Linked DNA regions of Lytechinus pictus. The protein of the gene in region 2 purifies or fractionates together with the protein of the main gene of each other region. This does not show direct contact. Links are inferred from orthologs where the notes say so. Each region holds a gene or a part of one and is shown on either strand. Other genes may lie near its edges.

Region 1 (7,068 bases), on a different chromosome or scaffold from region 2:
ATGTGATGCAACCACTACAAGCCAGACAGTCATTCAATGTTATCTGAGCCTTCTCCAATTTCCTCGACCCTCCATACTGTATGGTAAAATGACACATCATATGATGGTAGCCTTGCCTAACAGCACATTACATGAACCAATGTTAAAGAATGCCAAAATAAGTCAATGTGTGCTGATTATTCTTAAACATAAACTGCTAATTTATACATTATTTATTTAATGTCTAGACCAATCAAAAACAATTAAAAGAATATCGAAAAATATAGTCAGAATTGTTACAAGCACTAGTTTTGGGTTGTTTAATTTCATGGCTTGTACGCCCTGAAATCAATATGTTCTGAATAAATCTTACGTCATCTAGTTGGAAATAGCTGCCATCGTCTTCAATCCGTATAGCTCCTGGTTTACCCGCCACTTTTTCCACCTTGACTGGTTTTATACATTCCTGGGGATAAAAATACATAAATTTCATAAAAAATCGAGACAGACAGAAATAAGACTTAAAGGGTGTTTGAAGAAAATAATTACAATCAATGGCAAATTTACAATTGATCTAGATCAATTATAACTAGACCTACCGGTATATCAAATCAAGTTGAACTTCCTGTAGCTAAAGCAAACTGAACAGTAAATGAGTGCAAATTTTCAATGAATTTTTATTATTATTGATTTTGGGACCCACAATTGACTTAGGTATACAATAATATTAATAATGATATTAATAGTAACAATAACAATAGTCTAATAATAATACCCGTAATAAAGATTGATTTATTAAGCACATTCTAGAAAAAGCTCTCTCTCTATAAAACAAAGTATTTAAGAATGGAAGTTATGCAAGTTAAGGTCCTCTACGTCTGCACAGTGCCCCTTTTGCGCACACGCGTATCTGTGTGATTCTAGTAAAAAGATACACTACAACCACAAACTTTACAGATGCAATACATAGTCATAGAAAGATATTCCTTAAAAATCTTACTCAAAATGGTGGAAAATAATGAATTTTGTGCATTTTATGTGCCGACCTAAAAAGACAGCCTTTCTCATCAAAATCCCTGAATCGTGTATAAAGTGAATGGGCGCATGCGCAGTCGCAGACATGGGCACAATATCTTTTTTTTTTGTTCGATCTGAAAATGTCTGGCCGTGCTTTTTTCCAACCAAGAAAATCATATATTTCTCTCAAATTTTTGTGAGATTTTTGGCACACTTTTGTGAAAAAAAAATTATCTTAATTTAAAGGAGAATGAAACCCTTGAAACCAGCTGAATCCATATCAAAGTGAAAAATCAAAGAAACATACTGTTGAAAGTTTGAGGAAGATTGAATGAATAATAAGAAAGTTATGAGCATTCGAATATTGAGATCACTAGTGCCATGTAGATCCTCACAACGGCAATGCGACCAAGATCTGTGATATCACACACGTACAACTCCCTTATTACTTTAGTACTTATTTCACTTATATTCTCACTTTTATAGAGTCTATCACAAGGTGAGGTGTTCTCTTTATGATATGACAAGTACAGAGGTTTCACAACATTATATCATTGATGAATCGTTTGTCATATGATTAGAATGAGCAAAAAGAGATGTTTTGGGGTATATTTTCAGTGTCCAAATGGGAGAGTTGTACGTGTGTGACATCACAGATCTTGGTCGCATTGCCAATGGGAGGATCTCCATAGCATTAGTGATCTCGACATTCAAATGCTCATAACTCTTTTATTGCTAGTCCTATTTTACTCAAAGTTTTGTTGATCTTATTCTTTGATTTTTCTGCTTTCACAAAAGCTAACTTGCTCCAAGAGTTTCATTCTCCTTTAAATTGTTAATGTTAGGTGCACAGACATGTTCCCCCCTCTTCATCATGTTACTCATATAGACGTAACTTGTAACAGTTAAGTTTCTTGCAACGCCCCAATTTTTTTTCACAAACTTTGCCTCCCACTGATTGATATCATCCCACAGTTATTACTAAATGCATACGGAAAGACAAAGAAATATCAAAGATCTAAAATAATCTCAAATGTAGACCTCTCAAGCTCACTAAAAGTCCAAACACAAGCTGACACAAGTTATTATGGCAAGTTCCCCCAAGTCTGCGCAGTCTCCCTTGTCTGCGCATACGCGTATCTGCGCAATTCTAGTAAAAGAAGATACGAAACGAACACAAACTTCACACATGCAACACATAGACAAAAATCCGACTCAAAATGGTGGAAAAATAATGAAATTTGGGCATTTCATGTGGCGTCCTCAAAATGCAGCCTTTCTCATCAAAATATCCGAATCGTGTGCAAAGTGAATGGGTGCGCAGACATGGGGTACCACTTTTTTTTACAATTTTAAAATGACTGCCCAAGGTTTTTTTCCAAGAAAATCTCATATTTCTTTCAAATTATCGTGAGATATTTGGTACATTTACTCATGATAATAATGAACATTATTAACAGAAAGATTTTGTGAAATAAAAAGAAATACATGTAAAATCTTGACTCAAATCGTTAGGTGCGCAGACTTGGGGACCACCATTATATACAACTAAAGACAAGTGTCAATCATCTTAATGTCATTGACATTGACATTGTCAATGATCATGTCAATTGAATTGTCATATCTCTCCCTCTCACTCAAAATAATTAAAAAAAGTCTCAAGTCACACTGACAAAGTCAAAGACAAATTTTACCTGCGAAGGAGTGATAAAATCATCAAGATCAGCAAGCTTCAGTGCTCCACTAAAGTGCGCCATGACCAGGATCAGTACGTTTCACACACAAAACAAAACATGCAAAGTCACAGTCAGAGCGTCTCGAGCTCGGCTCTCGCATCTCTCCGTGCAGCAGCTCAAAGCCCTTCGGTATCTGCCTCTTTAGCTCCGCCAGCGGTCCGGCTAGTATGCATATCGAGAATCGGTGAGTTGAAGGGGCGCCGGACTGACATCCGACGAAAAAGAAATGAGGAGGGGTAAGGACGTACGAGGCAGATAGCATTTTCAATCTTGCTCTAAAAATGTTCAATAAACCGTCAAATTTTGGACTTAAAATATTTTTATATAATAATAAATGCTTTTAAAATATTCATTTATAGATAATAGATTGAAATATATTTAAAACTGTGATTTAATGAGTTACGCTGGAATAGATCCTTATAAAGAAAAGGGAATTCCCCCTTTGCAAAATTGATCCACCTCTTGTAGCTAGCTCTTCATCTTTTTGCTTGCATCTCACGGTACTCGGTTAATCCCTTTTCTTTGTTTTCAAAGCTTTGTTTTCAAAACTAACTCTAACTTGTTGGCATGCCAACTTGTTATATTCCGGGTCAAACTCACATCACAGGAACAAGGAAATAAGAGAAGATGCTGCTAATCCTTTGTTAGTCTAGTCTGTGCTTGCTTGTTGAAGTCAGAGGCGCGAGGCCGAAGAAGGAGTGAAGAAAGGCTGAACTGCCTGGCTGGATCATTTGACATTTTGATTAGGATACTTACATGCAGATACTGAGATAGACAATACTGAATTGAACAGGAACAAGGAAGTGACTTACCCATTTATAGCATATACTAGTACCAGTGGTACTGAGCCTGAGGCACATTAATGATTGATACTCATCAACAGCAGTCTATTTCCTTGCAATATATCAAGTGTACTTTCTGTATTGTATTTCATCATAACACAAGTTTGTTCAACTGAACTGAACTTCCAAGTTCAAGATGGTCTACATGTCGGTTGCCGCTCGAAATGAAAAGATGGTGCACCTGGCGAGATCGCCTGGGTTTCGAGCTTGGAGTACATTTTTTGGTGAGTGGATCTAGACAGAATATTTTATTGGAAAACTTGTATACATTCTCAAATTGAGCTTTGCTTTTGATTTTTTAATGAGTATTTTAAAGAGGAGTTATTCTTTTTTTTATTGTTCTTGCTTCTATCATTCTTTGACTGTCTATGATCATTTTTATTATTACTGATCTGGCAATTTCATATAAAAATAAATTGATCATGTTGATGATAAAATTTGAAATATAAGAAGAATATTAGGCATCATACATGCACAGAAAGTGATTTCCAGAGTGCAAAACATGGCTGTCAGAAAAGACAGAGATTAACCTGTTTACTTTAATTAGTTGAGAAACTGTATAACACAAGGAACTATATCAATTTATCTTATATTTTTCAGGTATCCTTGCTATAGGTTGTGGGATGGTAATCTTCTCAAATGATGACTGGCTGTGGAAATCATTCTGTCTCTTCTGCTGTGGATTTGTGGCAATATGCTCTCTAGATGACTGGGAGGTAATTATATCATCAGTTCCCAGGGGACCACCGCAATTACACATGGACACCAACCACGCTGTGGTCAAGAAGTCAATTACTAGATTCCTGGTTCTAAAGTCAATGGTTCAATTCCTGACTGTGGCACCTTGGTTTGAGCAAGGCATTTAGATGCATTGCTCTTTTACTTTAAGTTATTAAATTTCATAATTCAATAACTGGAAATGCCTCAAGCATGATTTCATACCAACATGCACACATTTTTATTTTTTTAATGTTTTCATACACAAAGTCATTAAAGAAGGTTGTTTTCACAGATGAAACATGTACATGTGGACAGTAAAAAAGGGTATCAAAATTGCCAGATCAGGGAAAGGTGTACAAACTAAATGCAAAGGCCATATACTTCACCCTGTCATTAAAAAATATATATGAGGCATCATTTAGGGTGGGGAAAGTTGACAAAATCAAGATCAAGATTACTTGTTTATTTGTTTAGGATTAATTTTGTGAGTCCATGTGTGAGCATGCTGTTCATCTTGTAATGACAGTGCCCTCCCCTGGGAATCACTTTCAAAATATTATATTGCTTCTTTGGCCATTAACTACTTGTAGGACTTCAATGTACAACATGACCAATGGCTGTTAAAATTGATGATTTTGGTTATGTCATTCATTTTTGACAAATTTGGCAAATTAAAGAGTAGCATGAATACAGTACCCAGACCGCCTCAAAAAAAAGAAAAGAAAAGGGAATTCATTTCATTGGGTGCTGCATTCTCTAATCCAAATTTTATGTTCAATAATAAAATGTGTTCATGACATATTTTTACCTTAAATTGGGGATTTGTATGGGTGTCAATTTTTTTTTAGACTTGCACAGTATTTCGGGTTATTTAATGATTTTTTTCATGCAATAACTGTAAATAAAGTCTACTGAAGTTGCATGTACATGAAACTATACTCCTGTGATTAATTTTGTTGTTTTTTACAGGTGCAATAGCGCCACCTGTAGTTTTTTTTTTTGATGAACTGAAATATGAAAGTCCTCATAATTCAGTAATTGAATCTCTTGTGCACATTGATTAGAGAGATAATGAGTTCCATTGAGAAATAACATTATTTAGCTGAAAATGAAAGTGCTCTCTTATTGTAGTCATTAGCAATGTTTTTGCATTTAGCTTGCGTGTTATTTGAGTTACAGGTATCTTGCCTATTGTGTTCAATTATTACCATTCATATATATCTTTCCCCTCTATGTTTATAAATAATTGTTTGGTACTGCAAAATCATAAAATAGCCTTAAAAACTGACATACTAAAGCTTTTCAACATGCACTCATCGGAGTAATGCTAGAGCAAAACAATATGTTATAGAACCAGAAGACACAATGTTTGATAAAAATTAGCCATGCTCATTTTAAATTCCTCTTATTTTCTGATTGAAATTTTCTTTGTATTTTAATTCTTCTTCATCATCAGGAATGCATCATTGAAAAGGATGGTGACATTCTTCTGAAGAGGTTTAGTTTGATTGAGAAGATCCTTAGACCGAAAGAAAATCAGCGGCAAGGTAAGTAATCCAAACAATTCTGGGGTCTGTTTCATAAATTTTTTAATAATAATAACAGTTTAAAGCTACTGAAATCACTCAATTTGATTGGCTGATAGTAAACATCATAGGAATTATGCATACAACTAATCTTTATGAAACAGGACTCTGGGGTTCTGAACCATTTACAAACACCTACATGTATTATGCAATCTGGGACTCGATTTGAAAAATATTGACAATATGGAAAAGAGCAATGCACTTTTAAATAAGATGATATTTTTCTGTCAAATATGTTACTTTCTACATCCCCAAAACATTAAAGTACGTCCTAAGCATCATTTAAGTTTTGTTCAGGATAATTTCTGAAAGATTACAGTGTATGCATATGGGCAATTCCATAGGTTGGTGGACATGAGCTCAATGTGTCTTTGTACATATAGCCCATCTGAACCGTAACGTGAGTAACCACTTTATCTGCACCCCTAGTAAAAACCATGTGTTCTTTATTTTTTGAATTATATACAAATTTGTCTCCCTAATATACTTCTAAATGGATATAATCAACTTTCATAAAAGCCTTGTATGAGGACACTTTTCACTTATGTCCACTTTTCATTTTATGCATGTCCAAATCATGTAACATGAGTAACCCACACATTTCAAAGATTTGCCAGGAGCATAATGAAATTTCCCAAGTTTTGTTTTTATACAAAGGATAGTCAGACTGCGTACTATGTTGTGATAAAGAGATGTTTAGTTCCTATCAATAATAATGGAGTTACAGCTCCAAGTATGAGTCAAGGTGTCTCGAAATGTAACGTGGGTAACCGTGGAATAGCCCATATGCCCATTTTGGACAAACACCTGCTTTCGCAAGAATGGTAATAGAAGCTCAGGTTAATTTCTGAGTCTAATCTTATCAAGAAGCATCAGCAACTTTATGGAGTGTCAGATTTAGAGTTGATAGGAAGGAAAAGAAACACTTGAGGAATGGGGATATAATAATACCAAATATCATGCAATTTTCTGAGAAGCAGAGATGTTAGACATGTTAATTCCATGCATCAGAATGCTTTATAGTTTGGGATAATTTTTTTTCCAGAAAGCTTGTTGCAGAAAAAGTTGTATAGTGTAAAAGCAACTCAGAAATAAAAAAATGCAACTCATCAATCTGCTTTTCTGATTGGATGAAAAACAAGTTCGTTTCATTGCAATTCTTTCTGTTTGCAGGCCCCTGGATCCTCA
Region 2 (6,963 bases):
TGTTAAAAAAACTCCTCGAAACAGACGGCTGCCAGCTGTCTATAGTAAAAAGTTTATAGAGTCTACTGTCACTTCTACTCTGAGTACCAATGTGGTCAAACATAACAGTATTAACCTTATATGCTAAAATAGATACACCAAATTCAGCCCAAAAATGTGGTCCCGATGCCTCCAGCCATTAAAGTATTAAAACTAGACTGAACTTCGCAAATAGCGTTCGTCGCGTGAGGGCGTATGTCACCGCAAAGGATCACGGGAATGAAAAGGGAGCAAACGCGAAATTGGCTTTCGGGAAGCCATACAACGCCATATGTTTTGTGTAGTGTCACTCAAAATCCAGGCTTTTTTAAAAGTTTGATTTCTTAGTATTGAAATTATTTTGGATACTTGAATGTGGATTTATAGAACAATCTTTGTAACATGATTGCACAGCGAAAGTATGAACTCAATGCTCACCGAATTTTCCAAGTTTTCTGGGGCTAAATTTGGGAAGATTTTGTGGGAAAAGTGAGCATGGTGATTGCTGGTCAATGCTATCGACTTTAGAAAAGAGCACGTCGGCGATCCGGAGAGAGCCTGAGGCTATTTTTTTCAATTAAAGAATATTGATGAGAATCATAATGTAGATCATAATAATTATATCTTATCTCCATAACTAGTAGATTTAGCAAGTTTTTGTTATTTTGGAGGAAATATAGTCCTTAAAAATCAGGCTTTTGAGTTTGATCATTACAAGATCTAGTACTAGAGGGGGGGGGGTGAGACTTGAGGATCGAATGGCCGCGAGACCAAATATCAAGTATATTAAAAATAAGCTAGTGAGTATAAATGTATATATATAATATACATATTAAGAAATACATATAAATAGGCCTATGACATGCAGCATAAAGATTAAATAAATCCCTGTATTTAAAACATTTTTGGATGCCGTATAGGCCCTAGTATTCTTCATGGTCTCCCTCTAACCTCTCTGTAATTTTATTTTGTCTGTCTGAAATTAAGCAGCTGATGGATATTTAATTTATATAAATGATGTATATTCCATTGTTTTAATAAAACAAATATTATTTCAAAATTTCCATCTTCATTTAATTTCATCGCATTCAGTCACTAATTACTTCTCTCACATCAGATCACCTTTTTCATTTCATTTTTTTTCTACTTATTTTTCTCTCAACTTTCATCTATTCTCACATTTTTTAAATATTTAATTCATTATTTTGTATTTGCAGTATTATCAAATCTTGGGACCAGGCCACTAATAAAAAAAACGGCCATGATCCTGAATTACATGCAATAATTGTGTATCTGTGGAGAGAAAAAGAAAACACAGCTTGGTTAATATCTGAATAAAATCATGATTGAGATAATTATTCATGAAACATGTATTCTTGACAATCGATTGATATATTACTAAAATATATAACTAGAATAAAGTAATCAAATCTAGTATTGCAGAGATTGTTTTATTGATCATCATTTTATTATTTTCCTTGGAATTCCGGGACTTTCCTCCACTGCCTCGCCGACGTACACTGTCTAGTGAGCTAGTGAGTATAAATGTATATATATAATATACATATTAAGAAATACATATAAATAGACCTATGACATGCAGCATAAAGATTAAATAAATCCCTGTATTTAAAACATTTTTGGATGCCGTATAGGCCCTAGTATTCTTCATGGTCTCCCTCTAACCTCTCTGTAATTTTATTTTGTCTGTCTGAAATTAAGCAGCTGATGGATATTTAATTTATATAAATGATGTATATTCCATTGTTTTAATAAAACAAATATTATTTCAAAATTTCCATCTTCATTTAATTTCATCGCATTCAGTCACTAATTACTTCTCTCACATCAGATCACCTTTTTCATTTCATTTTTTTTCTACTTATTTTTCTCTCAACTTTCATCTATTCTCACATTTTTTAAATATTTAATTCATTATTTTGTATTTGCAGTATTATCAAATCTTGGGACCAGGCCACTAATAAAAAAAACGGCCATGATCCTGAATTACATGCAATAATTGTGTATCTGTGGAGAGAAAAAGAAAACACAGCTTGGTTAATATCTGAATAAAATCATGATTGAGATAATTATTCATGAAACATGTATTCTTGACAATCGATTGATATATTACTAAAATATATAACTAGAATAAAGTAATCAAATCTAGTATTGCAGAGATTGTTTTATTGATCATCATTTTATTATTTTCCTTGGAATTCCGGGACTTTCCTCCACTGCCTCGCCGACGTACACTGTCCCTGAGCTGGGCCGAGAGTGCCCGCATTGGCAGCCGCAGTCCGTGCATACATTACAAGCGCACTTTGCACAGCTCAGAATACGCACAGACACTGAGACAGTGCGCGAAAATTAAATAAAATTGCACTTGTCTTCATAAGATCTGTGGTAATTCTTGCAGCTATAGACAGCACATCCATCTCTGTCACCCATAATTAAGAAGAAAAGTGATGTTAGACTCTGGAACAAATATGACGAGGCGTTTACTGGAAGTTAGCAAAATGTCGAGGTTTATACTAATGCCAACCTCGCAATACGTGTGAGTGGCAAAATGTTGTTGTTGCCTGCAGGCGTCGATCGTATTTTCAATTTTGATACATTAAATGGAAATCGTACACTTTATTGTCGGCTGCTTGCGTTCGCATGGTAGCATCCGGACAATGGCGGCGCTATTGCTCCCTTTTCGATCCCATGATCCTTTGCGTGAATCTATTTGCGATAAGGTCTATCGAAGCACTGCCACTGTTAGTGTTACTTAGTGTGACTCAACATCTAGTATACTGGTATAAAAAAGCCCCAACGTCTTTTTCAATGAATGGGACTAAGATTTAAGAAAAGTATTCGTAGCGGCTATCGATCATTCCCCAATCAAAGTCCAGATATATTAACGTGAGAGTCTTCATAATTACTATAAATTCTAAAATCCCTTACACTTTTCAATTTCTATCCATGACTTTCTCAGTGACAGACTTGAAGAGAGAGGGCGCCATCGCCACCGTCGGACGTAACTTCTGGGAGCTCCGGCCTAAAGTTGTAAATATTCACTTAAATCTTGTCAATCCTGTTATCTTAGTATATTCTGTTGACATACATTCAAATTTAATGATTAATTCTATGCTCTGTTGTATATATTTTTAGTCATGTCTTGCTAAAAAGTAGGAAATAAGGGCCTCCCCTCGACCACTAAAACATCAATAGCAAACCCATGTAGTGTATTGCGTATCGTATTGTAGCGCCTGAAGGTTCTAACGTAGAGGGCGCAGAAAGGAGAAAAATACGAAGAGGAAACGAACGGAAGACAGATAGAAGATCGGGAGAGATACAAGAATTGTAATCCAGATTAATCGGTAAATTGCCCTATATAATCAGTTATTATTGTTCATGATTGGATTGTTGAATACTTACTAAATAAATGTTGTTAATGTGAATGAACGGCATCACAGAAGGATTCTTATTTTAGCGTGAATCAATGGTGTGTGATTGACGTATACGTGAGTTCAGTGAGAGCTACATTGAAGCACACGGAGAAGAAGATTTGGCGAGATTTGAGTGTGGGGAGCGTTACATTGGTGGCAGTCGCGGGATAATTCTAGACGAATTATGGAACCCACAGAACCCACATCAATCTCAGAATCGAGAATACACCCTATTCATGCTAATGAAACTGTCCCTTATGGTTTGGGAACAATTCAACCGGAGGAAGGAGCATCATTTGTCACGGTAGATGAATACCACGTGTCAGACCACGTGCGAAGCTTTCCACAGCACGCAGCCTATGGGGACGCACGACGCGTCGGTAGTAGATTGTATGATGCGTTAATGGTGGAGGACGCTCGCCAGGTGCGTTCGTTGGGCAACGAATATAACGCACGAGGTGTTATGAGCGGACACAGGGAGGAGCAGATTTCAAACAACACGCACACACTGCGTTCGGCGTTGGGCAACAGGAGCTACGACGCACAGAGCGTTATGGACGGACCAAACAAAGAGATTTTTCCTGACACTACGCACGAAGCGTGCGTGTTAAGCAACGAAAACCGCGACGCAGGAAGCGTTGTGATTGGGCATGGTGAGGAGCTGATCTCTGAAAGTACGCACGCGGTGCGTTCGGTCAGCGACGAAGGCCTCAACGCACAAGGCGTTTTGAGAGAACGCAATAGGGCGACGACCCCTGATAACGCACACATGGTGCGTTCGTTGAGCAACGAAAGCCGCAACGCACAATGCGTTTCGAGAGAACACAATAGGGCAACGACCCCTGATAACGCACACACAGTGCGTTCGTTGAGCGACGATGGCTACAACGCACAAGGCGTTCCGAGAGCACGCAGTAGGGCTATGACCCTTGATAACACACACACAGTGCGTTCGTTGAGCAACGAAGGCCGCAACGCGCGAAGCGTTTTGACAGGACGCAATGATGCGTCGATCCCAGGCCCCATGCACAGGGCACATATATTCGACAACGACTATCGCAACGCAAGAAGCGTTAGTAGTTGTCACAATGGTTTGATAGCAGACATTGCACACTCATTGCGATCTCAAGGCAGCGAACGCCCAGACGCACAAGGCGATTGGAACTATCGGGAAGGAGAGGCCCTAGATTCGCATCGCGCACGCATTCTGCGTTCATTTGATCACCTAAACTACGACGCACAGTGTGCAGGAAAAGAAAGGAGACAACCTGAATACTCGGCCATGGATCATGAATACTTGCCTCAGAGGATAGGCAGGCCTATTGTATCTGTGCGCCCACCTGACAGGACAATCAGAAAGCCAGTGTATGAGCCAGGCACATTCACAGGAAAGGAAGTTTTTGAGAGCTATTTAAGTCATTTTGAAATAGCAGCAGATATTAACGCTTGGAACAATCGAGAGAAGGCTGTATTTCTGGCAGCAAGTCTGCGTGGTGGTGCTCAGGAGATTCTAATGGAACTGTCACCATCACAGAGAGTGAATTATGAGTTTCTAGTAGCCGCCTTGACTACCCGTTATGCATCAAGAGGTCAAGCAGAGTTAAACCGTTTGAAGCTCAAGAACAGGAGGCAGGGAGCGGGAGAAACCCTGACAGAATTGGCTCATAGTGTAAAGTGTCTGATCAGGAAGGTATATCCTGTTGCATCTGAGGATACAAGAAGGACACTAGCTAAGGATAGTTTCGTTGATGCTCTGAAGGATGCTGAAGTTCGCTTTGAGGTTATGAAAGCCCAGTGTGAAACAATCGACGATGCACTTGTTGTTGCAGCGAGGATCTCTGAGCTCAAGACTACAGAAGCAATGCGAGTAAACTACAGACAAGTTCGGACTCTGAATGCAGAGACCGAGGAAGAAAAAGAGCCAACTGAACATCAACTGGAGACATTGGTGAAAGAACTGCAGTTGACTGTCACCCAGTTGAGAAAAGACATGGCAGATATGTCCAAGGATAGGTCGAAAGGTTACAGATCCCAATCAAGAACCAAATCCTTCGCAGAAAAAAACAAAGAAGCTACATGCTGGAATTGCGGGAGCGAAGGGCACTTCAAGGCTAATTGTCCTGCAATGACAGAAGGAAACAGCAAGCAACAGGAAAACTAGAACCTACCGACTTTAAGGGTCGAGAGCCGGTAGAAATTCCCAAAAGGCCCAATGGGACAAGAATCGAGGAAGCTCGATATATGCCTGTTAGATCAGCTCGGTCAGGAGATATTGGTCTTTTTGTTGATGTCATGATTGGTGACCACACAGTCCGGATGCTGGTAGATTGCGGTGCTTCAGTTTCTGTCATGAAGACAAGTGTTGCCTCACTCATCGGATGTGATGAGCTCCTTGAGAGAGACATAGGTGTTAAAATGACTACTGCGAGTGATGTGCACAGTATTCCCTTCAAGGGTAAAGGAGAACTGAACATGTGTCTAGGAGGGAAGTTACGTAGGAAACTAGTTTGGTTTGCAGACGTAAAAGAAGATGGAATTCTTGGTCTTGATTGCCTTGAGGACTGGAAATGCAAAGTTGATTTTGGTCGTCGGGAAATGTGGGTAGATGGTGTAAAGGTCCCTTGCCATAGCTTTGAAGGGCCGCCTGCTTGTTGCAGAGTCACTGTGAGTGATACCGTCACCCTACCACCCCTCACTGGACAAGTTATCAAGGGTCAAATGGAAGACAATTTGGCATTCACTGACGTAATCCTGGAACCTTCGTCTAAGTGGACTGGCTCAGGAAGTGTTCTAGTTGATGCGGCAGTGATGAGGCCGGGCGCCAAGACAATACCAGTGAGAGTCATCAATGTAACCAACCAACCTGTCAAGTTTTACAAAGGGACCACCGTTGGTCAATGTCAGAAAGCTGAGGTAGTTACACAGGAAACTGTCTCCGGAGACAACCCTTCTAAGACCGACAAGACTCCGTACATAACTGTTGATGGAATGAAGATACCAGAACATTTGCAAGACACATGGAAACACAGCGCACAACTTATTAACAAGGACGAGAGGGTGAAGTTGAGTAAGCTCCTTTGCAAGCACTCGGAGGTTTTCTCCAGAGGTAAAGATGACCTGGGGAGAACAGATGTAGTGAAGCACCAGATTGAAACGGGGACATTTCCTCCTATTCGACAGAGAGCAAGGAGATTACCTGTCCATCAAAGACATGAAGAATCGGCACAAATTGAAGATATGACAAGACGTGGTGTGATTGAACCGTCTGAAAGCCCGTGGGCTTCACCAATCGTGTTAGTCAAGAAGAAGGACGGTTCTACCCGGTTCTGCGTTGACTTCAGGAAGCTGAATGATGTGACCACCAAAGATGCGTTTCCACTCCCACGTATTGATGATTCATTTGACAGATTGTCTGGATCAAAATGGTTCTCAACTCTCGATCTGCAAAGTGGTTACTGGCAAGTAGAGATGTCAGAACAAGATCGGGAGAAGACTGCATTCATCACAGCGT

What was found. Proteins that work in one complex are often made in the same cells at the same time.
Region 1: the proteins of cytosolic iron-sulfur assembly component 2A-like (region 2) and cytosolic Fe-S cluster assembly factor narfl-like purify together in Homo sapiens (affinity purification with mass spectrometry; 4 studies listed by BioGRID and IntAct, with this or other methods). This does not show direct contact. The link is inferred for Lytechinus pictus from reciprocal best matches to the Homo sapiens genes CIAO2A and CIAO3.

The regions. Positions count from the first base shown.
Region 1 is NC_087254.1:35,013,113-35,020,180, reverse strand, and holds the start of cytosolic Fe-S cluster assembly factor narfl-like, read right to left. Parts: upstream 3,010-7,068; 5' UTR 2,754-3,009; coding exon 2,691-2,753; intron 446-2,690; coding exon 353-445; intron 77-352; coding exon 1-76. Other genes in the region: cytochrome b-245 chaperone 1-like, read left to right, coding at 3,711-3,798, 4,175-4,290, 5,751-5,841.
Region 2 is NC_087249.1:9,756,796-9,763,758, forward strand, and holds the start of cytosolic iron-sulfur assembly component 2A-like, read right to left. Parts: upstream 3,008-6,963; 5' UTR 2,968-3,007; intron 1-2,967. UniProt on the Homo sapiens protein: Component of the cytosolic iron-sulfur protein assembly (CIA) complex, a multiprotein complex that mediates the incorporation of iron-sulfur cluster into extramitochondrial Fe/S proteins.